Linked DNA regions of Astyanax mexicanus. The protein of the gene in region 1 interacts with the protein of each later gene in a biochemical or structural test. Links are inferred from orthologs where the notes say so. Each region holds a gene or a part of one and is shown in the gene's direction. Other genes may lie near its edges.

Region 1 (7,750 bases):
TGTTGTTTTATAGTAACATTTGTGCAACAATTGATTTGTGAACATTTGCACATTTATAGTTTTAATTTAAGTTTTCTTTTTTTTATTCTTTTTCTATTTGTTGATGATGCTACTGTACCCTAGACTTGATTTTCTCACAGATTTATTTAATATGATTATTGTTGTTTTTCATATTTACACAACCAGTGAACACTGTACCACTGACCCTGCTTAAAAATATAAAATGCTACACTTTTGTATGCAGTGTCGTCACGTGTTCAGCTATTGATGGGAGTTTTCACACCTGTAGTTGGTTTGAGTTTTTGAATTTGGTGAGTGATTGTAATGATATATTAGAGAGTTTATTAGAGTAAATCTGTTCTGTAACTGAAATGAGCCTCTAGTTTAGACTCTGTTGGATCCTCTATTCTGGATATAAGATGAGAGAGATTGAGATGGTTGGGCTTGGAGGAGGTTCTACAGGTTCTGATTGGATCCTGCAGCACATTTACGCACAGATGTTGCTGCTACAGCTGGGCCTGTAGATCCTGTAGCTCCTCTACACTCGTATAGGTTGAAGCTGAAGCTGCAGCGTCCCAGCTACTCTAAAATCAATGCCGGATTGGTAATAAATCTGGTATACATCTGAAAAATGTGATGCCTTCTCAGAATTGCACCTAAATTCGTCGCTTTAGACACAGTTAAGATACAGTTGAAGCCTGTAGTTGTCCTGGTTCCCCGTTCATGACACTTCACTTCTGCAAACGAATGGGAAATGTTTTGTCCCCTAAACATTTCTTAAATGTATTATTTATTTATTTTTTAATTTATTTTAGATTTTCTTCTGTTTTTTTTCCCAATTTCGGAGGGAAACGCAGCGACTCGGTTCTGATACATCAGCTCACAGACGCAGCCTTGTGCTGATCCACATCACCCTAGGAGTGATGAGGGGAAAGAGAGAGCACAATCTACTGTACCCACCCAGAGAGAGCAAGGCCAGTTGTACTGATGGCAAGCTGCATGACCGGGATTCGAACCAGGAATCTCCCGATCATAGTGGCAGCATTTTAGACTGCCCATAAATGTTTCTATCTATCTCACATGATCAAATCTTTTTCCGAATCAATTTAATTTATTTATTTGATTTAATCTCCCAGAAGCCCCACCTTTTATCTTTGATGGCATCATAGAGGCATATCCAGCAGTCAAGGAACTCTCACTGGGAGGTGCACTTCCTACCCAAAAGTAGCCCCCAAGACTCTTTTTATAGGGCAGTAGAAGAAGCACTTTTACGCCTGTAATCGTTTACATATCTGCCTTTGACAGAAGTTTTGCAGCCGTCCGAACAAATTGCTTCAAGAAGGAAAATGAAACAGGTTCCAAATTAACTGAATTCAAAAAGGGGGTGCAGGTGTGAAAACGCCCTAAAAGCATATGATGCATTTTTGGTCACAGCTAGTCGACTAATCCTGCCTGATTCCTTGCCTTCCTTATTGCACAGTGACAGCTTTTTTTGTATAAAGTGTGTGTGTGCCTAATTAAGAGCAGATGCACATTAAAAATGTTTATAATAAGGTGTAATGGTAATTTGCTTGTAATTATTCTTCTGTTCAGACAGTTCCAGTACTTCTTTGCGTTCACAGTTACTGCTCTACTGAACTATTTATCAACGCCTTGTGTCCGCTAGTCTGTACACTACAGAAATCTCCGCTCTTCACAACACCACAAATAAAGTTTTTTGCTGAACTGAAGAAAATGTTCTCTTTATTTTTTATTCTGAAAGGCTTTTAGTATGTGCCCACCCAAATCCCTAATCATAATACAGATAGTCAGCTGTATTAACAACTGAAATTATACACATACACTGCACTGACTTTAGACTTGATAATTAAACACAGTGGATCAACACCAGCAGATGACATGTCTCTCCAAACCATCACTGATTGGTGGAAACTTCACACTAGACCTCGAGCAGTTTGGACTGTGTGTCTCTCCACTCTTCCTCCAGACTCTGCTCCCTTGATTTACTTTAAATGAAATGTAAAATTTACTGATGATCAGTGATGGTTTGGAGAGTCATGTCTGTCATCTGCTGGTGTTGATCCACTGTGTTTTATTATCAAGTCTAAAGTCAGTGCAGTTTTGTTTTCCCACAAAATCTTACAGCACTTCATGCTTCTTCCCTCTGCTACTGACAACTTTTATAGAGATGCAGATTTCATTTTCCAGCAGGACCTGGCACCCTGCCCACACTGCCAAAAGTACCAATTGGTTTTATATAATATTCAGATTTTCTGAGACACTGATTTCTGGGTTTTTATTGGCTGTAAGCTTCATAATCATCAACAATAAAAGAAATAAACACTTAAAGTATATCACTTTGTGTTTAATACATCTATATTCAACTGAATTATTAAAATAAAGTTACTTTTCAATTATATTATAATTTTTTGAGATGCACTAGTGTAGTGCGCAGGTTCGCAAATTGGAACACAGCCAGGGACGCCACTCAGAACACGGCTTTTACGAATGGACGTCAATGACGTCGTGTTCCAAACGGCTCAAAACTCCTTAGTGCTCTACTACTATTAGTGTACTAGATAGAAAAACATAAAAATTTTAAAAAGCTGCAAGTTGTTACACCATTATGTAGTTTAAAACTAGTTAAATCTGTCCTGAATGATTCATTTAGAGTCAGTTTATATTTATTTATACTGTACAATTGTTGTGAGACCTACGTTGTACACTACACAACAGCTTACTGCCCTTCAGAGCCTGGAGCGATTTGGGACGCAGCCCCGAAAGATGATAGACCCTCGGCCAATCAGAGCCGCGTACAGCCTCTGTCCCTACGCAAATTGCGTAGCAGTTTACGCTGTTAAAAGAGTACACAAGCTCAAAATGCGCAACTCTGACATATGGACTGATAACTACAGGAAAACATTGAGAAATAACAGTTTAAAATCATACAAATAATTTAGGTGGAAAAAAATTAAACCTGAAAATAATTTTAAGCACAATAAGGAGGATTTGTGTAAACTGTTTTATTACCACTTATAAAATTATAAAATCACTGCAAACCCCTAATTTACCCATATTTATTTTTTATCATGCATTTTCCTTCTTACACCCATAACTGAAATTGCCAAATTTATATATTAGGCAGACACTGTAATAATTTGTTTATTCACAAATTAGTTTTTAAAGAATAACTCAATCAATACCGTAATATAAATGATACATAAACATTTCTAAAAAAAATTATTTAATATTTTCCAAAGAGTATCACAAATGTCGGTTGTGTTGTTTTTACATCTCCTTCATTCAAAGCGCACACAGTGAACGTTTCAATAACAAGAACAAAAAAAAATAATAAATAAAAATCTGTGAGCATCCTATTTAAGTATTTTTAAGTTCCTCTTCCATGTTTGGCAGCACACAGTTCGGAATAAAACGCCAGTAAAACTGAATATTTAGGGAGCAGAAAATGGGAACCTTAATCCATAGTACGTGTTGTGTCAATTGGATTAAAATATATAAAAAAAACAGTACAAATGTCTTTATATTATTGAGCATTAAAGTTTCATTGCTCTTTAAAACAATGTAAATGTATTATAATGCTATTGAGCTTTGTGGTTGGGATGTTCTACTCTGGGGCTGGGGTATTGGGTTTTAGTCCCTGTCTGTGTGAAGTTTCCATGTTCTTCTCGTTTCTGTGTGGGTTTCGTCCGGAAACCTCCAGGTTGACGGTGGTTTCCAGTTAAGAGTATGCTGTGCACGATTGGCTTTCACTTTTCACTTCATTCATTTGCTAAAATATTATTATTTTATGTGGGCACCGAGTGGTCCAGCAGGCTAAAGCGCTGCCACTATAATCAGGAGATCGCTGGTTCCGGTTCCCAGTAATGAAACTTGCCATCAGTGGCTGGAGCCCTGAGAAAGCACAATTGGCCACTCCTTTCCTAATTATCTCATGACTAGGATTTTGCCATATCGTATCAGATCCAATAATATCGCCAACATTATTAAATATCGTGAACGATATTATACCCTGAAATATCGTGCCATATCACCCACCCCTAATTATCACATCAGGGTTCTACTTTTTTTTTACTGTTTTTTGCAAAAAGAAAAATTCACACTGTTCTCATTTCCCATTGTATATTTATTAGAGACAAGATTATATCTGTCCAGTATAGGGCATTATTGGTACCATAACATTCTGGATCATTGATTCTTGTATTGTTTAATGTCTCAATTTGGAGTGTGCAATAGTAAAATTTAATTTTCATTTTTCAGAAGTGTAGCGTATCGTTTTCGCAAAAATACCATTAAATATCGTGATATTATTTTAAAGCCATATCGCCCACCCCTACTCATGCCAACCTATTAAAAACATCTATCTATCTATCTATCTATCTATCTATCTATCTATCTATCTATCTATCTATCTATCTATCTATCTATCTATCTATCTATCTATCTATCTATCTATCTATCTAATCATCTTCTCTACGCAAGTTACGTAGCAGTTTAAGCTGTAGACGCTGCGCAGCTTAGCACTTTTCTTTGTGAATACGCCTCGCTCAGTCGCTCGCTCGGTTTAAGGAGAAGCTCGATCGCTCTGCTACGCGCTCGGTTTGCGCGCTAGCTCCCTAAATTCACAATAACCATTAATTCGGATCGATTTACCAATGGACTGATCAAGGTAAATCATTCTACTGCACTTCTGATAATCGATACCGCCGGGTTCTGGCATGCAAACACGGTTAAATACGGTTTTAGCCAGAAGTTTACAGGCATTTCTGATGGTTAGCCTGGCTAGTTAGCACAGCTAAGCTAACTCCGTTAGCCGCCGCCGCTTCAGTGAACGAGATTCTAGCGGTTAGCTTAGCATAGGTAGCTGAGCTAGTTAGCCATCGATGCTAATTGTGTTTAGCTAGGTTAGCTAGCGTTAGTTAGCTCAGCGCGAGCGGGTTTAATTCGTTTTTCTCCGTTAAAATATACATTGAATTTAATTCTGCAGCGAATTCAAAGCGTTTAGAGACGAATTAGAGACTATTTTCTATTTAATAACTAAAACACCAGAGCTGGAAATGTGTACAATAGCTATGTTAGCTGAGCTACATGTTTATAATCCGCTTAGTTTACTGTATAACTGTAGTTATATTTGTATTAGTTTCAGTGCTGCTTGTGTTATCTAGCTTAGTTATTAAATAATCGTAGGCCTGTCACAATAACAATATTTTCTAGACGATATATCGTTCCAGAAACTATTACGATAAACAATATTATTGTATATTTGATTATTTTAGAACCTTTAGCTAAATATCACTGACATAATGATAATATAATAGCATAAAACAGCACTTATAGCCCTTTAAAGACAACATATTCGTTGTTAATCATAAATTTTGGGAAATATAAGCTAGTTATAGTTTATTATTTACCTTCTTCATTCTGTCTGCATGACTGGCTAAAATACTGTTCATCATTATACATGTGAACAAACATACACATTAATCACTATTATAAACCAGATCACCATTATTAAATATGATTGGGGTCAGGTCTAGGTCTGTCAAAATAATTCCATTATAGACTTCTTCTCCTACAGTATATGAACACAACCACAATTAATTGATTTATCGAAGAGACCCTTGATTAATGTCAATGATCGTGTATGTCCACTTTGTTTAAAAACACAGATTTTACTTTATTACATTACTTTATTTAAATAAGATACTGGTACAAGATAGATGAGGTATAGATTTGTACAAATGTATAGGCATAAGTTTGTATATTATTGATTTATCCAGTCTTGAACAGACATTTTTGATGACCCTAATATCAACAATTATGTGATTCTTTTTTTGTGAGATTTACAATGACATGAATAGCTAAAATGTTGACTTTGTTTAAAAACATAAAAAGAAAAATATGTGAAATTGCTAAGCTGCACGTTCATAATTTGCTTAGTTAGCTAGTTGGTTATATTTGTGTTAGTTTTAGGGCTAGCTTGTGTTACCTAGCTAGTAAATAATCAGAGGAATTTGTGGACAATATATCGTCCCAGTAACTATGCCGATAAATGATAATATTGCCATTTTAAGATTTTTAGCTAAATGTCACTGACATGATGATAATATAATAGTATAACAAATCATTCATTACCTTTTAAACACAGCATATTTTTCATTAATCATATATTTTGGAAAATATATAGTTTATTCTTCACCTTTTACAGTCATGACTGAGTAAAATACTGTTCACTGTTTGTATTTGTATTAGTAAGTCGATAATGTAAATATCCTGACAGGCCTAGACACAAGTTATACTATGGTGTATAGTCTCTATTGTAAGTTACTAATAAGTATATTGGCATCATGAAATAATCTCCTTATTGGTGCATCCCTAATTTAAAGATTAGGTCTTGTAAAAGGTGTAATTAAAATGACAATAATAAGACAGAAACAGAGAAAAATAGTCTAAGTTTTCTTAGTTTTCTTAGACAATGAATTTTTAGAGTTTTTCTTATGTTAACCCATGCAAATTATGTACTTTGACCTAAGAAGAACATAACTAATAATAAAAGCAACTAGATTGCAGTTCCTGCAGAAACTGTGATTGTGTTTGCAGTGCTGATTCGTGGGTGGTTGCTATGGTGTTGCTAAGTGGTTGCTAAGGTGTTGCTGTTATATCCTGTTGGTTGCAATGGTGTTGCTAAGGTGTTGCTATGGTGTATTAAAAAAACAAACACTAATTTAGGATCTGACTTCTTTGGATGTAGTGTGCCTTATTGGTGTAGATACCTTGTTTTTATTTGCAGTTGTAAAGCATTTAATTTGTTTGTTGTTTATATAAAAAGGTCTGTTGTTTTTTGTTCTAACAGTAACTGAGCTGCATTAGACCACCGAGCTCTTTAATAAGAGCCATGGCGCAGCAGCGCAGCGTGTCTGAGCTCTCCTGCTGCACAGAATCTCCTGGGGTTGGTTTAACAGCCGAGCACGACTCCGCATTGGAGGATGGAGACGACGTCTGCAGTGATCATGGCGATCGCAGCCCGGCTCGCTCCCCGAGTCCACGTGGAGAGGAGGACACCACCATCTTTGTGGCTTTTAAAGGAAATTTGGACGATGCTGACTTTCAGGAGAAGCTGGATGCCATTCTGAACGAGATGCCCCCGATGCTTTCCCTGGGTGAGGGCACCTCGGATTGTTTCTGGTCTTGAATTCATTTTCAATAACCTATATATATTTCTTTTTTTTTTTTATTATGTTTTTATTGTCATACAGAATCATACGTGTCATTATGGGACATTTAAATCTTTGTGTGTGTATGTACACGTACACACACATCAAAAACAGACAGTGGTCATACATTTCTGTAAGTCCCCATACTTAACACTTTTTTTTTGTACCCGCCTTCCCACCCTCAAACAACAGAAAGAACAAGAAGAAAATAAAAAAAATAGTGCCCACAATATCAAAACTTTATACATACAGGGGGTGATCTTATCTATACAGAGATATAGTTAGTTTGTGAATATGAAATCAGGTCTAAGGGGTGTGACATATTCGACCCATTTTTTCCAGTCTGAGAGGAATTGTCTCACTGTAAGATTAATAAAAGCAGTTATCTTCTCCATTTCATATATATCCATTATAATATCCATCCATGCATTTAGAGTAGGACACACCTGTGATAACCACTTCCTAGTAAGAGTTTCCTTGGCAGCCACCAGCAATATGTTCATTAGATATTTATCCCT
Region 2 (8,350 bases), on another chromosome or scaffold:
ACAACCATATAGTACGCAAGCAATGAGATAAGGTTAAAATAGTACTTTGCTTTTAATTTGAATGAATACAGTTTACTACCACTACTCTGCAGCACACACTGAAATAGCTTCAGGGATTGGAACTGAGCCACAGTGAATTATTAAGGGTATTTGAGCATAAGATTGTTACAACACTCTAGATTGGGAACTAATCTGTTTACCTGGGACCTTGAACAAGAAGTGATCAGCAACCGAGTGACAGGTGCGGCCCTTCTGTATGATGAGACTCGCCAGGAAGTAGTAGTAGTCGATAGGGATCGCTCCATGGTAGTAGACGATGAGGGCAGGGCCTTCGTCTGGGATCTTTTCTAGACCATGGATTTCGTAACCTGTTCCACAAAAACATCACTATTATTTCCAATGGCAAAGAATGTAAGTGTGGATTTCTGGATGTTAACAATAATAATATTATTTTGTTAATAAAGGGCTGTGTATTGACTGTGTATTGTAGAACTTGGTGAGATCACCATATACGTATCACAATGCAAGATTCGATATATGTTGTGATACTGTAAGGAAGGCGATATATTGCAATTGTTTCAATTAAAATTTAGGAGAAAAAAAATGTCATAGTATAAAAACACATCATATTTATAAAATCTCAATAAAATGGTAGCTTACTTGTTATACAATCAAACCAGCAGGATCTATCGACAGAGTACAACACTGCCTTTTAGTGATCTGTGTTTAAACACAACACAAAATAAACTAGAATCTGCCACTAAGCATTATATGTTAAACTAATAATTAGAAATCTGTACTTTGTACTTTGTGTTTTTAAATATCGAAACAGTATTGCAAAACAAAAAAACAGTAATACGATACAATATCGATATTTTCTTACACTGCTATTTGCTATAACCAGTTTTTAGACTAACACTGATGTCTTTACATACTGGAGAACTAAACAATGCATGTTACATTTATATAAACTGAACTGAATCCTTTTGTATTAGGCTTGGATTTAATCATATCAGATCAGTAATTAATCAAAAAGAAAAAACTGAAGGCCACTCCTCCTCCTCTCTCAGCCACACATTACACACCATGCCATATGGCACCATGGCCGTCCCACAGAGTGGCCAGAGTCTTCCTCGCCCCGTCCCACAGGTTATAGGAGTAGGCTTCCCTCAGCTGGTTCTTGCGTTTATATACGTGGAGGAAGAGGATGGACAGGTAGAGGAAGATGACTATGAGGAAAGGCAGGATAAAGACGATGGCCAGCGGGGTAAAGACCCAGAGTAAGTACTCCAGGAAGCTGAGGTAGTCTTCTAGATTTCCCAGGCCAGCCCAGTCCTCCCAGGCCAACAGCAGACAGGTGAGAACACCCACAGATCCATTCCCTGACCAGCAAGACTCATTCTCATCAGACATGCTGCTTCAGTAGGTCCCTCTCCCAGTGGCAGCCAGGTCGAACAAGGGCACCTCCTGCCTACAGGCAGACCTAGGGTTCACAGAAAGCAAAAAAACATTGGCTACAAAGAAGCAGAGAACATTTAGAGACCACAAAGACCTTTGTGACTATCATATTACCAATAATTAGGCCTTTAGTTGTCATCGAAAAGCTATGTTGGTTCAATAAGCAGCCCAGTTGGCAAAGGTGCTTAACTGGAGTGAGATTTGCCACCTTTTCTGAGAAGAATGCAGCTCGATTCCAAAAATGAATGTGACTGGAATCAACGAGAAAAACTCTACTCTACCTTTCTGAAATGAACAAACTGCATAAAAAAAAATATTTTAAATGTAAACCAGACAGAACAATATATACAGAAATGGAACAAACAAAAATTTAGGTTTCATTATATTTAATCTAGATGTTAATGGATTTGCTTTAAATAAATTATTTTCAATTAGTCAATTAACCAATGACAACCAATTCATCCATAATTCTAAAGGGGATTTGTGCTCCTGTACCAAACCACATAGTTTTATACTTTACACACTACATTAACAAACACACTTCTTATGGTGGTGCACTTAAAAGTGTATAATACACTATTAGTTTTACTACTACACTGGATGTGCAACTTTAAAATATAAAAAAGATAGCTGTAAGTTTTTTTTTTGTTTTAAAATTGTAAAATTAGACATTTGCTCAGTATTCCCACATTGGTGCATCCCTACATGTGTCTGTAAACAGTGATAATGTTGATTGCATAAACAAGTTGGCCCAGCCATAGTATGTTAAAATTTGTTGCTGATGTTTTTTTTGTGTCTTTATTTTAAGGCTGTGTTTACTTTTTATCTAATAAGATCAGTGGGAACTGAAGACATGGATATTTAATGGGCAGGGTTTAAACACAAAATCTACTAATCTAAACTTTACCATGGAAACTATTTGTAAGAATATAAGAGTTTTGTCCTATAGTATACTGTGTTTTAGTTTTATCAAATAAATAGTTAGCATTTTATCTTATTCAATATTTAGCAGGATCAATATGCTATCCAGTTTTACTTTATGATCTCTGGTTAATTTGTTTGAGTGATTTATATGTAACCATGGGTAAAAAAAAATCATATGAATTTGAAACATCACTGTGTGAATATGTTTCTTTGTTTGTAAGTTAGCTTAGCCACTGCATTCCAAAACCCTGTTTTCTCTGGAAGATCCTTTAAATAAACTGGCAAAGCTATTTTTGTACTGGGACTCATTTTTGTTTGTTTATGTTGTATCACACCAGCTACAACATACATCAGGATCTCATTTGACTACATTTTTCATTCATTCATTAAAAAATTTAATTCATTAAAAACTGATCAAGTATTGCACAACAAAATATCACAATATTTTTGATATTATATTGATATTTTCAGACATACTGTGACTGGGTGACTGGGTGAAGGACAGAAGTATAAAATATTCTCTCTGTCTGAGGTCTTTGTTTTCCTACACATTGTTCTTGCCTATCTAAAAAATAAAAGATGTGCACTAGGGCCCTGGAAAGATGGTCCACAAACTCTTTTTCACATGTGCATCAACTAAACAGCTTAAAGCCTGTATTTTTATATCTTTATATTAACTACAATTTAAAAAGTATTGAACACTGAACATTTTTTTAATTCCAGTAGACAAACCAACCAAGCACAATATTGTATAAAACTTTTAAAAATGTCGTCTTGAAACTTATTCAGGTCAGTGTAACGTTTAGCAGTTTCATTTTCTGACTGTATCAAGCTAAATTTAAAAACTTAAAAAAACTTTTTTTTTTCTTTTTTTTCAGGAGAGTGAAGAAGAAATGCGTTTTCATCCCATTTTTTAATTAGACAGTTTTTCATTTCAGCCTTTGGCAAAAATAATTTCAAGAAAAATTAAAAGCTGACTCTGACTCTCGATTTTCAGATTTTTAATTTCTGTATCTTGTAACACAAATCTGATGGTATAATGCAAAATGCAAAAATGGAAAAATCAGAAAATAAAGATTTTTTTCATTTTTCCTGAAAATCCAATTATGAGGTGCAGAGATTAATATAACAAAAAATGGAAAAACGGATGAAAACTTATTTTTAAATTTTCTATTTTTGCATTTAGCTTTGAACAGTCAATAAAATAAAACCTTAAACGTTACACTGACCCATTCAGCCAAACACATTAAAAAACATATATGTTTTTATCTTTTGCCACGTAATTTAGATTGACGAACAGTGTCTACATTTTTTATTTTTAATAACATCGATAGGACTGGCAAGCTAGCACTCTGTGTCAAAATGTACTAAGTGAATATCAACACTGTTAACACTATCTAAACTATTTTAAACAGGCGTGGGTTGGATTATTTTATTCAGTGTCAAATTTCGAGAGAAAAAAAAAACAAACAAACAAAAAGAGCCGGTTTAGCTAGTTGAGTTATCTAGATAACACAGTGGCTCTTATCTCTCTATCTGGCTCACTGTCAGGTATAAAGCTTGCTTTAGCTTCTTTTCCAAAAATATTTCGTTCCACCTTAAATGGGTCAGCTGTTCCACTCTGGTACCTGAACAGGGAGCAGAACCGCTATCGCCACCAACACGGTTTAGGGTGGAACGGAGAATTAGAATAAGAAGCACTTAATACTGAAGGTCTCAGCTGACAGGTCTCAGCCAAAACACAGACCTCCTCCACCTGCACCTCCAACACAGAGCAGCGCACAGCACGATTATCCGCTTTACTCACCTCACGGACTCTTATTATTTCTCCTTCATAGCTGAATTAGCCTTTACTACATGGTGCTGCTGCATCAATAATAAAAGTCACACAAGTGCTTTTGGGCTTCGGCTACAGCCTTCTTCTCCTTCCTGCTTACCCGGCTTTCTTTACGTACGAAGACAGGAATTTCAAAATAAAAGTATTTGAGTGAAAGTAATAATTGAATTGAGGTTTAGTATAATTTTGTTTAAAAACAGGCCAGGATTTTTGTCAATTGTCTGCCTGACATTACACCATTAAATCTTAAGTATTTTAATTCAAGCATTACATAAAAGCATTCATGTTTAAAAAAGGAACATTACTGAAAAGCACATTTGTAATTATAATTGAAAATATAAATATATAAAAATATTTAAGTAAATCTGCTTATGTCAAAATATAATAAATAAATCATAGAATTGGCTCTTTTCTGAACTTAATTGTAAAATAAAGATTTTCCTAAATACAAATCAAACAGTTAATGTCCTTCAAACTTTTAGTTTCATTTGGGTTGATTCCTGTTACTGATCTGGAATTATTAAGTGGAGTAGAAAGTGAACAGACAAAATCCAGCCTAAGTTTCCTGTAGAAGATTTCAAGGCCTCGAATTTTAAGAATGAAAATAAGTTGTTTTACTGCAGAAATAGTGGTTTTGTATCACCTACACCTGTAGCTTGAAATCGGCTCAAGGTATGTTAATAGATTAAAGCTTTAGACATTATTTACTTTTTTCCATATTTTTTAAATGTAATTTAATGGGTTTTTTTTTTATTACAATTATTGGAATTTGTGAGAGCTGGGGCTTTTAATTTGTCGAGTGTTCTAAAACATGTGGGTCTCTACACTGAGCGCTACACGCACGTTTAGATGTTTGTGTTTATTTTATTTTAGTGTTGTTTTAATATGTCCGACTCATAGCTAGTTAACCTAGGTTTGTAGATTACGTTTTTTTTCTATTTAGCTTGATGCTAATGCTGCTATTTTGTTCCGCGCATAAGAAATTAAGCAGTTAGATAATCAGAAGCCGTGATAAATGCTGATAGATAACTAGGTTAGATAGGTTAGCTAGCTTAGCTAGATGTAGACTAAATACTTTAACTAAGATAATTTAGCGGATCACTGTCATCCCCTTCCTTCCTCCACAGGTTTTTTTGTTGCTCAGTGTTGATGATGGTTAATTATGGGAAATTTCAGGCTGTTCCCATAGCTGATATATTTTTCCACCACGGTGTATTAGACGAGATGACCATACACTGCCTGTGTTCCAGAGCTTTTGTCAAGTAAGCCCCTTAATCAATTAATCAGTCAGCTGTTTAAACTATTTATCTAGCTAACCTAACTGTTATTTATTTGTTTTTACTTTACTTGTGTGTTTTCAGCCATTTAGAGCCATTTGCATTCAGAGCAACTTGTCAGCTATTATATAGGATAATTAGCTGGTTAGTAAGCTTGGATGCTGTAACTAAAACAAATTTACACGTTTAATGTTCTCTAGCTATATTATCTAGCTAAAATAAATAGTATATTTTGGTATATGTTGTGTTTTATTATTAGAAAATGAAACATGATTGCAATTTTGAAAATTGTCAAAAGGTAGTCTTATGACTTAGAAACAGTGTTAGAAACAGTCTTACCTAATTATAAGGCTGTGACAACTTAGTTCATACTGTAGATAGAGCAACATTTAGACAACATTGTAGCAGCAGTGTTGTAAGACAGTAGACAATGTTGTGACTACTTTGTATCTCAGCTGGGAGGGTTGATATTGTAATTTGTGCTTTTCTTATATATATATATATTGTATATTTATCAACAAAATAGTAGAAAATATCTGTCTGGTCGTCTTTTTAATTTAAGACATATATCTACCAATACTGTGATTGGTCTAACATTAATATCATTTAATAACATCCTTATCTTTTACAGTGATCGAGAACTGTATCGGTCTGATTTTAGATCCCTGCAGGCTCTAACAGACAGCAGACAGAATGGTATGCCATTTCAACCTAAGGCTTTCTGTGTGCTTGATAGAATCCATTCTTGGATATCCTTTATTTGTGAATTGAATTTCTATTTCCACTGTTCAGATTTAACAGACAATGTTGAGGATGTTGATGATGAGGGATATAGCCACTCTGAAGATGAGGAGGATGTGGAAATGGATGAAGAGATGCTCCTTATGGCAAGTTTGGGTCTGCCGGTAGCGTTTGCCAGCTCATCTGCGCAGAGGAAAGCGGTAAGTGTTTATCTGATGTGTTTGGGCATCATATGACATAGGGCTGTAAGATAAATCTTTTTTTACTTTCTATATTTATTTTATATAATTACTGCAAGAAACTTATACTGTATTACCTGCATGGAACAACAAAGGGAGCACCTCACACAGCAACCTCAAACTGTACTCATGTTCTGTAAGGAGGCTGGAGCTGGAGCGAGGCAGAGTAAGGTTGAAGTCCACAATGAATGCACACGTAGAAAGATAAAATTTTCATTGTAAATCATCATAGAACAGCAACGTGTATCTCTTCTCTTCTTCACATGAGCTTGGAGATCCTTCACAAGCATGTGAACTTCTTGTACATGCAGCCCCAAAACTGCAGTTCCAGTTGTTTGTCAAGATGATGAATCCAAAATGCAAAACCAGTCTTACACACTGCTTTTGGATCACTTTATGCCTCTCCTGGTGCAAAAATTTAAGCAGTTCTGCTTGGTTTGAGATCATCCATCTTCCTCTTGATTATATTCCAGAGGTTTTCAATTTGATAAAATTAAAGAAACTGGTCTCTTATTTTTTCAGAGCTGTATATTCTAACATTTAAAGAAAACTGATTTAAGAAATACTAAATTTTCACTAGGTGTCTGTACAAATTAAAGATGCAACATGTCATGATAATAACTAATGCACCCAGTGTATTCAGTACTTGGGTAAAATAACTAGGGATGCTTTGGCAACCGAAACTTGGTAGTAGACAACTGAATTGTAATTTGATCACCCCTAATTTGAGCCTGATCGTATCTTCAGTTTTATGTCGACAGGAGGAGAGTGAAAGCAATGCCTGATTAACATGATTATTAAGAATACTTAAGAATTGGAACATTGGATTTGTGAAACAATATATAAAAATCCTAAATTAAGTAAACACAATGTAAAACATCTGTTTTTGTATTTGTTGTCATTAATCATGCTTGTATTACACTATGGGCAATATTGAGGTCAGCAAAATAATTTGAGGTTATGTCCACATTTATATGATAAGTCGATAATTATCATGACCGGTCTAGTTGTTGCATGAAAATGCATAAAAGTTCTCTCTTAATTGTGAATGATTGAATGAATGATGTGTTTTTTTTTGCTTAGAACAAGTGGACTGGCTACTCTCCGCACAGAGGGACAAAGAAAATTAGCGATGACCACGATGAGATGCTCTCTGACCAGCAGGAGCCACAGCTGGAGGCAAGATTGGAGCCTCAGCTGGAGCCAGTCTCCGATAAGAGAGATCAGGAGGAGGAAAAAGAGGAGGAACAGGTTCTTACAGAGATGCTGCAAGAAACCCCTGCTGACCCAGAGTCTGCTGTCTCTGAGGAACCATGGCAGAAGTACTGGCAGCTGCATGGAGAGAGCCTGCTGTGGGCTGGTTGGGTGGAGAAACACCCCCAGTTCTCTAGTGAGGAGGCTGTGGCTCCATGGGACTGTCCCGAGTGGAAGGAGGCCTGGGACGAGCACAGCAGCCAGGCATACCTCTGTTACTGGGAGCAGTTCCACTACTGGGCTGCTCAGGGCTGGACTGCAGATGAGTCCTGCAGTTTGACTGAAGCTGCTGATGATTCTGTTTGTGATAATGGACAGCATGAACTGTGTGGCGGAAAAGAACTGGAGCTAGAAAAGAATGAGCCGTCCTCTGACTGTGGGGATCAGACCTCAGGGATGCTAGAGTGTGCACCAGAAGTAAGTTCCCCCAACATTGCTGAACGTTTTGATGCTCTAAACATACAAACAAGTGAATGTGATCTTAACGACAGCCGGCAGAGCTTGGATTGTTATTGCGCAGATGAACCCAGTGATGGCGGTGACCGGAAAAGGCTATCATCCTCAGGCAACGTCAGCAGAGATGGTGAGTTTCTTAATTTGCTGTTCATATTTAATGCACA
Region 3 (7,999 bases), about 47 Mb from region 1:
TCCAATGTAATAGACAATGAAAATTGTAATAATAATATTTTATTTTATTTTATTTCATTTTATGGTATTCGTTTCTTCTTTTGTGTGCATTACAGGTTGAAAAAAGTTTTGTTAAATATTTTTTTTCCATTACTGGGACAAAACTAAGGATTGAAAGGGTTAAGAGTACTGAATTGAGAGTTGGTGGACTCCTATAATATACAGGACTAAATAGCTGTAAATGGCTGTAATTTGTCATTATGAATAATCTGGAAATGAAAAGTCTGGTTTATAAAGGTTAGCCTGGGTTACCGTGAGGCTTTTCCCATGTGATACATGTAGCTAACGATCTCTCCATTTATCTGGATCTACCTGGATTGAACACTCTGACTTGGCATGTGACGGAAAGAGCCATAACCTTGTGGATTAGATTTTATAGAGCCGTGGAGGCCGTTCACAGGGCTCTTGAGATTTAGGCTACGATAAAGACTTTAATGGTAAGCCAGATAAGATTTGCAGAACGTGAGTCACTCCTCACTGTTTCTGAGGCCAGAACAAATCTCCTGAGCAAATAAGGAGATGAGGAAGAGATTCCCAAAGACACGTTAAAGTTAGAGTTAGCACCTTAGCACTTGCTTAGATTAGACAGTTTACTTGAATTTCTTGCATCTTAATGTGCACAAAAAAGCAAAAGGCACTTTCAGAAATAAATCTATATATATAAATATATATGTATAATGAGACCACTGAAAAATGATGAGTTTCTTTGATTTTACCAAATTTAAAACCTCTGAAATATAATCAAAAGGAAGATGGATGATCACAAGCCATCAAACCACCAAACTGAACTGCTTGAATTAGTTTTGCACCAGGAGTAAAGCAGCATAAAGTTATCCAAAAGTAGTATGTAAGACTGGTGGAGGAGAACATGATGCCAAGATGCATAAAAACCAGGGTTATTCCACCAAATATTAATTTATGAACTCTTAAAACTTCTCAAATAAACATTTTCTGTAAATAAATGCTCTAAATTGCAATATTTCTATTTAGAATTTGGGAGAAATGATGTCTATATGTTCATTTTACTCAAATATAAACCTATAAATAGCAAAATCAGAGAAACTGATTCAGAAACTGAAGTGGTCTCTTAATTTTTTTTATCTATATCTATCTAAAATTTATCATTTATGATCATCATGTTAATAATAACTAAAACACACAAAACACATAAACAGGATTAGTCTCTTATGCATATCTAAATTATCAGTTGTCCGGCAAGTAAGTTCAGGTGTTTTCCAAGCAATTCTAAACAATACTGTACAGTAAATATAGTCTGCATAGTGTCCAGGGGGATCTGCAGAGCCATATAAATCAAGATCTTATCAAAAATGTTTTTACAAGCTAATCAAGATATTCCCATACTGACAAAAAATCAACCTAATTAGTAACCATTAATAAACTAATTGTAAACCATTTATAAACCCTTTATAAAGGTAGTCTTATTTTAATGTGGTATCGGATTTATTTTTAATTAAATGTACATGTCTTTTAGTAGTGATATACAGTAATTAATGGCATAATTCATACACATTCATTTGAGTTTGCGAGGCAAAAAAATTGCTATTGATAAAAAATACTATAAATTTATAATGTAATGTAAAAAAAAAAAATTAAGATCTAATGCATACATTTTAAATCAATAAATCAATTCAAATCTTAAGTCACTTTTAGCCTAAATTTGTATTTCTAAGTTTTGGATCTAAGTATTTTAAATCTAAAAAAAAAAAGTTATATGTTATATGTTATATATGAACTTTAAACAGTAATTTTCACCACTTTCAAAGTCAAAAAACAAAAAATCTTAGATAAAATTCTAATTTATGAATTACCACATATGTGTGTATATATATATATATATATATATATATATATATGTCACATTTTCCCAGTATATACAATACAGATCCAATACTTTGTCAGTTTTAAGCTCCATATCTTAACTGTAACTGCCTGTAAAATGTGTTATACAGTAAATTAAGTTGTTTAGCCTGGTTAAAAGAGGTTTTACTGCGTGTTTAGAGAGTTTACTTGGTCACCGTTTTGGGCAGCTCCTGTCCTCGTGCAGGCGTGTGGGTGGATGAGTGGTAGGTAAAGTTTTACTGTCCTGGTGGCCGTATGAACCGGAGAACGTTGACCTGTGGCTTTGTACTGTCACTTTCCCTTCTTCAAATATCTCCTGGGCTGTGTTTGCCTTGGCTCTGATGTGTGCGAGCTTGCTCCACTTGTTTACGTAAATGCTCCAATGCTTTACTTTTGGTTTTCCCTCAGATAACAAACATAACCTGCGTGTTAGCATATCAAATCAAATCAAATCAAGGTTTATTTGATTTATTTCACATGCAAAAGTCGTGAAATACCTGCTTATTTGTGGTTTCTTATGTAATCAATCATATTAAAGGCGAAATCCTGTGTAAAATTGACTTTTTGTTGTAGTAAAACTTGATAAAAAAGTTCTTACTTTTGATGATTAGCACACCTCCGTTCTCCCACAGCGTTCAGAGATCCAGAAATTGTAACAGTTTGTCCAAAAACCATTCAGATTGGGCGTCACGGGGCATAATAATTTGCCCCGATAAATTGCTTTTTACACCGTTATTCAAGCTCAAAGTAGCTCCACACCTCCTTGCTAGAATAAAAAAGTGCACAAGAAGCTTATTAAAAAATATAGACTCTGGAGTCTATGTATAATGTATATATATGTATATATGTCTGTCATTATCAGTACAGTGATGGCGGTGCTCTGAGCTGAAGCTAGCATTATAGGATGTAAACAGAGGTTTTTAAGAGTTTTTTTTATATGATACCATTAAATTATTAAAGAAGACTTTCTATACTATCAATGTTATGAATATCAAGTTATATTACTGTAGCATTTCGGACTAATTGGAGTAAAAATGGAGTAGGCCTATTCGGTTTTGCGTAAACCAGAGTTTGGAGCCCAATAAAACCAGCAAATTAAACTTGTATCAAATGACATCATGAAATGCTAGAAGAACCCTTTACAAACTATCAATGTTATTAGTATCAAGTGATTTTACTGCAGCATTTTAGAGTAATGCGAGGTCAAACTTTGGAAAAGTGCCTATTCGGTTTTGCACAAACCAAAGTTTGGAGCCAAATAAAACCAGCAAATCAAACTGTTATCAAATGACATCATGAAATCCTAGAAGTACAATTTACATGATATCAGTTGTATGAGTATTAAGTGATTTTACTGCAGCATTTTGGAGTAATGGGAGGTCAAACTTAGGAAAAGTGCCTATTCGTTTTTTTCCTAAACCAGAATTTGACACCACTCTATTTGTTTTAGACACAAATATCTGAAATTCACAATTATGAAAGCTGTTTGTTTTCTTCTAAGGGAAGAATTATGGGTGGGAAATTCTCATGTTAAAATGAAATGTGACTGTTTTCACTACATGAACCCACACAGCCATCATAAGCAGATTTCAGCCGAATCGTAATTAAAATACAGAGAACATGTACTGTAGGCTTCTTAAAGGAAAATACAGAAATGTTCTTCAGGATGTATTATATTACGTGGCCACAGAATCAGATTGAGAGCCAGCCAGCCTGATTTTCATGCTTAAATGATGTGTTTGCTAAGTCTCTGTTAATTCTTGCACAATAAACAACAGCAGTGACTCTGAGTAGCTGGAAAAATGCTGACCTTTATGTAAAAGAACTCTTTGTTCTACAGAAAACTCAAAGTTCCAACTATAGAGAACAGAATGGCCAACATTTATACTTTATGCCAAATTTAGTCATAACTAAAAACTGCAGTTTTGGGTGAAAAGTCGAGTCGCTGCTGCTGTACTGGATTGAGTACAGGATTGAGTCTTAAATATGTAGAAAGCTGAAGTACCTACAGAAGAAATTCCCCATCAAATACAATACAGACAAGACAAAAATAAACGACCACTTAAAAATTATTAGTTTCTTTGATTTTAGCTAATTGAAAACCTCTGGAATATAATCAAGAGGAAGATGGATGATCACAAACCATCAAACCACCAAACTGAACTGCTTGAATTTTTGCACCAGGAGTAAAGCAGCATAAAGTTATCCAAAAGCAGTGTGTAAGACTGGTGGAGGAGAACATGATGCCAAGATTCATAAAAACCAAGGTTATTCCACCACATATTGATTTCTGAACTCTTACAACTTTATGAAAACTTTATGTTTTCTTTGCATTATTTGAGGTCTGAAAGCTCCATAGCGCTAGATACGTTAGATCTCTGGGCGCCGCCATCACTGTACTGATCATGACTTAACTTTAAGCCCAGAGATGCACAGCATCTAATGCTACAAAAGAGTTGTAAAAAGTGGTTTTAATATGTTTTTCATGCACTTTTAAAGGTATTAATGCCTCGTTTTATATTTCAGAGCTCTCCAGATTTTACCAATGAGGTGTGGAGCTACTTTGAGCCTGGATAACGGTGGAAAAAAACGATTTATCGGGGCAAAATATGCCCTGAAGCGGCTGTTGTAAAGAGTGCTGGGCTTATAAGCACAAAATTACTGGGTCTTGGAAAGCTGTGGGAGAGCGGAGGTGTGCTATTCGACAAAAGTCAACTTATTTAAGCTTTTTTGCTTTTTTGATAAAATCTGATATTAAAAAGAGAGAAAGAGAGACTCACAGAAAGAGAGAAAGAGAGAGAGAGAGAGAGGCCTTGTTCATCTCTATCTCTAAAAAAAACAATCCATATTAAGCACTAAAGAAAAAAAAGCCAGACAATGATTAACCCAAGGGCCACCCCGCTCCAGAACTGGGGCCGTGGCCGAGGGGGCGGGGTCTGACCTGTCAGTCAAAGTCAGCCTCATCTTTGCCCCAGAGGACATGTCCCGTGTCACTCAGAGGTGTCTACCTCTGCGAGGGGCGGGGCTTGCTCTATGAGAGGGGGGGGTCCGGACTCCGGCGAGAGGACAAGTCTTTCCCCTCAGTGTCAGGCTAGCTGAGAATGCGTTTGTCCAAAGCTCTAGCAGACATGGAGATGGCAGACTATAGCGAGGCCCTGGACCCAGCCTACACCACCCTGGAGTTCGAGAACATGCAGGTGCTCGCCATGAGCACAGGTGAGTCACCCTGCAGACAAAGTTCAGGTCCCGGGCTGAACTTTGAGTCCTGAGACTTTTTATATAGGCTGGAGAATGTTTGGTCAAGCGTAGGATGATGAGGTTGGTTTAATGGGTTTTGGGCTGGTTTATAGACTTTATAGATTCCTTATACATTCCTTAGAGATGCCTCTGGATGGGATGACCTGTTTAGAACAGTATGCTTTATACTGAGTTATATTTATTATTTTATACTCTTATTTTAGTGTTTATACTGCCAACTTTTTTTTAAAAACAGGAGTTTTTAAAAAGTTTAATGCACTGGAGGAACCCAATAACCACAATAAGAATAAAGTGCTGTGAAATTTATAGGACTTTTTAGAAGAAAATGTTCCTTAAGTCACCTTTAAACACCACAAAATTATATTAATATATGATATTATGCATACACATATGCTTAGCCCAGTCCTGAAGTTGCTTAAAGCAGAACTCCAGTGTAAAATTAAAACTTTTCAGTGTAGTTAAACATGATAAAGAGTTTTAAACTTTGTTTTAAAGCCCAACAGCGCTCTTCTACAGCTTTCCAAGATCCATCAAATTTGTGCTTTTTTGCCCAGAACTCTTTACAACGACCGCTAATGGGGCATCCACTTGCCCCTGCAGATAAATCTTTTTTTTTTAAACAGTTATCCAGCTCAAAGTAGCTCCACACCTCATTGGTTGAATAGGAACATTGGTAGAAAACGCCTGACATTAAAAATGTGCACTTTTAAAGTTATCATTGCCTTGTTTTAAATGTCAATGGCTCTCCAGAAGGTCTTTCAGAAGGAAATGTTCCCAAGCTTTCCTAAAGCATTTTCCTCAAAGCATCTTTCAGATCTTGTAGATTCCCTAAAAGTTCCCCAAGGTATAAAAATGAAATGAAGCAAGACAGGATTAAATAAGCAAAGAACTAAAGAACTGAAGATCTGAACTGAGAGTCTGGAAGCTTTGGGAAAGATGAAAACTGCAAGCTCTGTCTTGTTAGGTGGACAGGCTCATCTTTCATTCCGTGTCAAAGTTACACCACTAAAAGTCCCACTGTGATTCCGTCCAGCTCCCTTTACCCTCCGCTTTCTTTGGTCGGTTGAGGATAAAATGTCTCTTCAGGGTTGAGTTTCCAGAGATAGCTGACAGCTAGATAGATGGACATCAAGCGTAGAAGATGTTGTGGAAATACTTCACAGCTTAGTTTCCCATGTCTGAACGTCATGAGAAACTGACTCGATTATATAAGTATCTGCAAAATCTGTTAAATAAGTTAAAAAAGTACCAACAATTCATTTCTTAGCCTTTCTTCTTTTAAGGTGCTTGAACATCTGGATGCTCTGAGGAACTTTAATGGGGTTTTAGGGCTGGAAAATATATTATTAATTTATTATAATGAAATATTTGCATATATTGCACTATATCGAAAGATTGCTTTGATGCTTTGCTGGTTAAAATATGTGTTTATTATGGATTAATAAAAAAAGAAATAATAATATGCATTGATTGTGCAACGTGGAAACGGTTTGGTTCCCAAAGAAATGATACTCAAATGAGAGTAGTCTTGTAAAAATAATGTAATTTAATGACATCACACTTAATTGTTTTTCACGTTAAATAAGTAAGTAAATACTGATACTTTTCTCTCGATCAGTATGATGTCAGCAATTTAAAACTCCTTACTTTATGTTTATTTGATGAATTATCAGCACTTGTATCATTATTATAATGGTATAATAGTATTACATAAGTATTTAAAGTGTTGTGTCTATTTTAAGTGTTAAGTTAGGGGGCGTTTAGAAAAAGACCTCAACATGTGTTGAACATTACCACAAAAATGTGTGTAAAAAAATTGATATTTCATATAAAACAGCCTTAATAACAAAGACATTGGGATTGAAACATTTGAAACATTACATTTTTTACATATTCATTGAATTAATCACTTTATAGGGGATTTTAAACACTATATAGGGTCAAATTGACCCCAAAGATAATACGAGATTTAATCATATATATACTTAAGTCCAGAACTACTGGATTTACAGTGATTTCTTAGATGATTAGTTTTTAATTAGGCTACGAATGATGATTTAATTGAGTTTAATTACTCTGGTTCCCAATCCTCTCACACTGCTGTTGTTTTCTCCCATTCAGATAATCAGTCAATCGCAAATCAATCAACTGAAACATCTACACATCTATCGTGCTTCCCTTTGATCATCTTTGATCAAGTACTTTGGTTTTAATGGGTTTTAAGCACTTTTTAAGACTATTACATCGAATAAGACGTAATAAGAACATATTACACTTAATATTATACAATTAATTAATCATTGAATCAATCAAGCTGAATTTGTATTTGTTTTTCGATAAATCATGTTAAAATTCAAAGTGCTTCACAAGAAAATAAGAAATATTCTAAAAATTCCAAAAAAATGGAGATGGATAAAAAGAAGGATAGTAAAATAATAGAAATAAAAATTAAATAATACAGTTAAGATAATACAAACAATAAAAACAAAGATTAAGAAATTAAGTATTGCATTAAGTAAATTTTTCTTAATTTTTTAATTTATTTAAAATATTCAATTTTATCAGTAATAAAATAGCAAAAAATAAAAAAGAGAATAAAATAAATATTTAATAATAATTTTAACTAATACAATCCAAAAATACCATCTGTAAAACTATTTAAAAATCTAGACTGAATGAATATAATATAATATATTATAATATTTTAATTTGCATTTTAAAAATTCTATTGGTTTAAAGTGTAAAAAAACAGCTTCATTAACCAAAAGCATTTTTGATTATATATATATAAACTTATAAACTTATAAAATATAGTTAAAATCCATTGAATAAGCTAAGAAGT

What was found.
Region 2: the proteins of ncoa6 (region 1) and tgs1 form a complex in vitro, tested with the Homo sapiens proteins (2 studies listed by BioGRID). The link is inferred for Astyanax mexicanus from reciprocal best matches to the Homo sapiens genes NCOA6 and TGS1.
Region 3: the proteins of ncoa6 (region 1) and hnf4a form a complex in vitro, tested with the Homo sapiens proteins (2 studies listed by BioGRID). The link is inferred for Astyanax mexicanus from reciprocal best matches to the Homo sapiens genes NCOA6 and HNF4A.

Annotation. Positions count from the first base shown.
Region 1 is NC_064420.1:49,309,492-49,317,241, reverse strand, and holds the start of ncoa6 (nuclear receptor coactivator 6), read left to right. Parts: upstream 1-4,565; 5' UTR 4,566-4,687; intron 4,688-6,871; 5' UTR 6,872-6,913; coding exon 6,914-7,178; intron 7,179-7,750. UniProt on the Homo sapiens protein: Nuclear receptor coactivator that directly binds nuclear receptors and stimulates the transcriptional activities in a hormone-dependent fashion. Coactivates expression in an agonist- and AF2-dependent manner.
Region 2 is NC_064411.1:37,313,088-37,321,437, forward strand, and holds the start of tgs1 (trimethylguanosine synthase), read left to right. Parts: upstream 1-5,029; 5' UTR 5,030-5,132; exon of another isoform or gene 5,133-5,346; 5' UTR 5,347-5,368; coding exon 5,369-5,481; intron 5,482-6,127; coding exon 6,128-6,192; intron 6,193-6,288; coding exon 6,289-6,437; intron 6,438-7,559; coding exon 7,560-8,313; intron 8,314-8,350. Other genes in the region: tmem68 (transmembrane protein 68), read right to left, coding at 201-368, 1,086-1,413. UniProt on the Homo sapiens protein: Catalyzes the 2 serial methylation steps for the conversion of the 7-monomethylguanosine (m(7)G) caps of snRNAs and snoRNAs to a 2,2,7-trimethylguanosine (m(2,2,7)G) cap structure.
Region 3 is NC_064420.1:2,568,220-2,576,218, reverse strand, and holds the start of hnf4a (hepatocyte nuclear factor 4-alpha), read left to right. Parts: upstream 1-4,957; 5' UTR 4,958-5,000; coding exon 5,001-5,115; intron 5,116-7,999. UniProt on the Homo sapiens protein: Transcriptional regulator which controls the expression of hepatic genes during the transition of endodermal cells to hepatic progenitor cells, facilitating the recruitment of RNA pol II to the promoters of target genes. Activates the transcription of CYP2C38.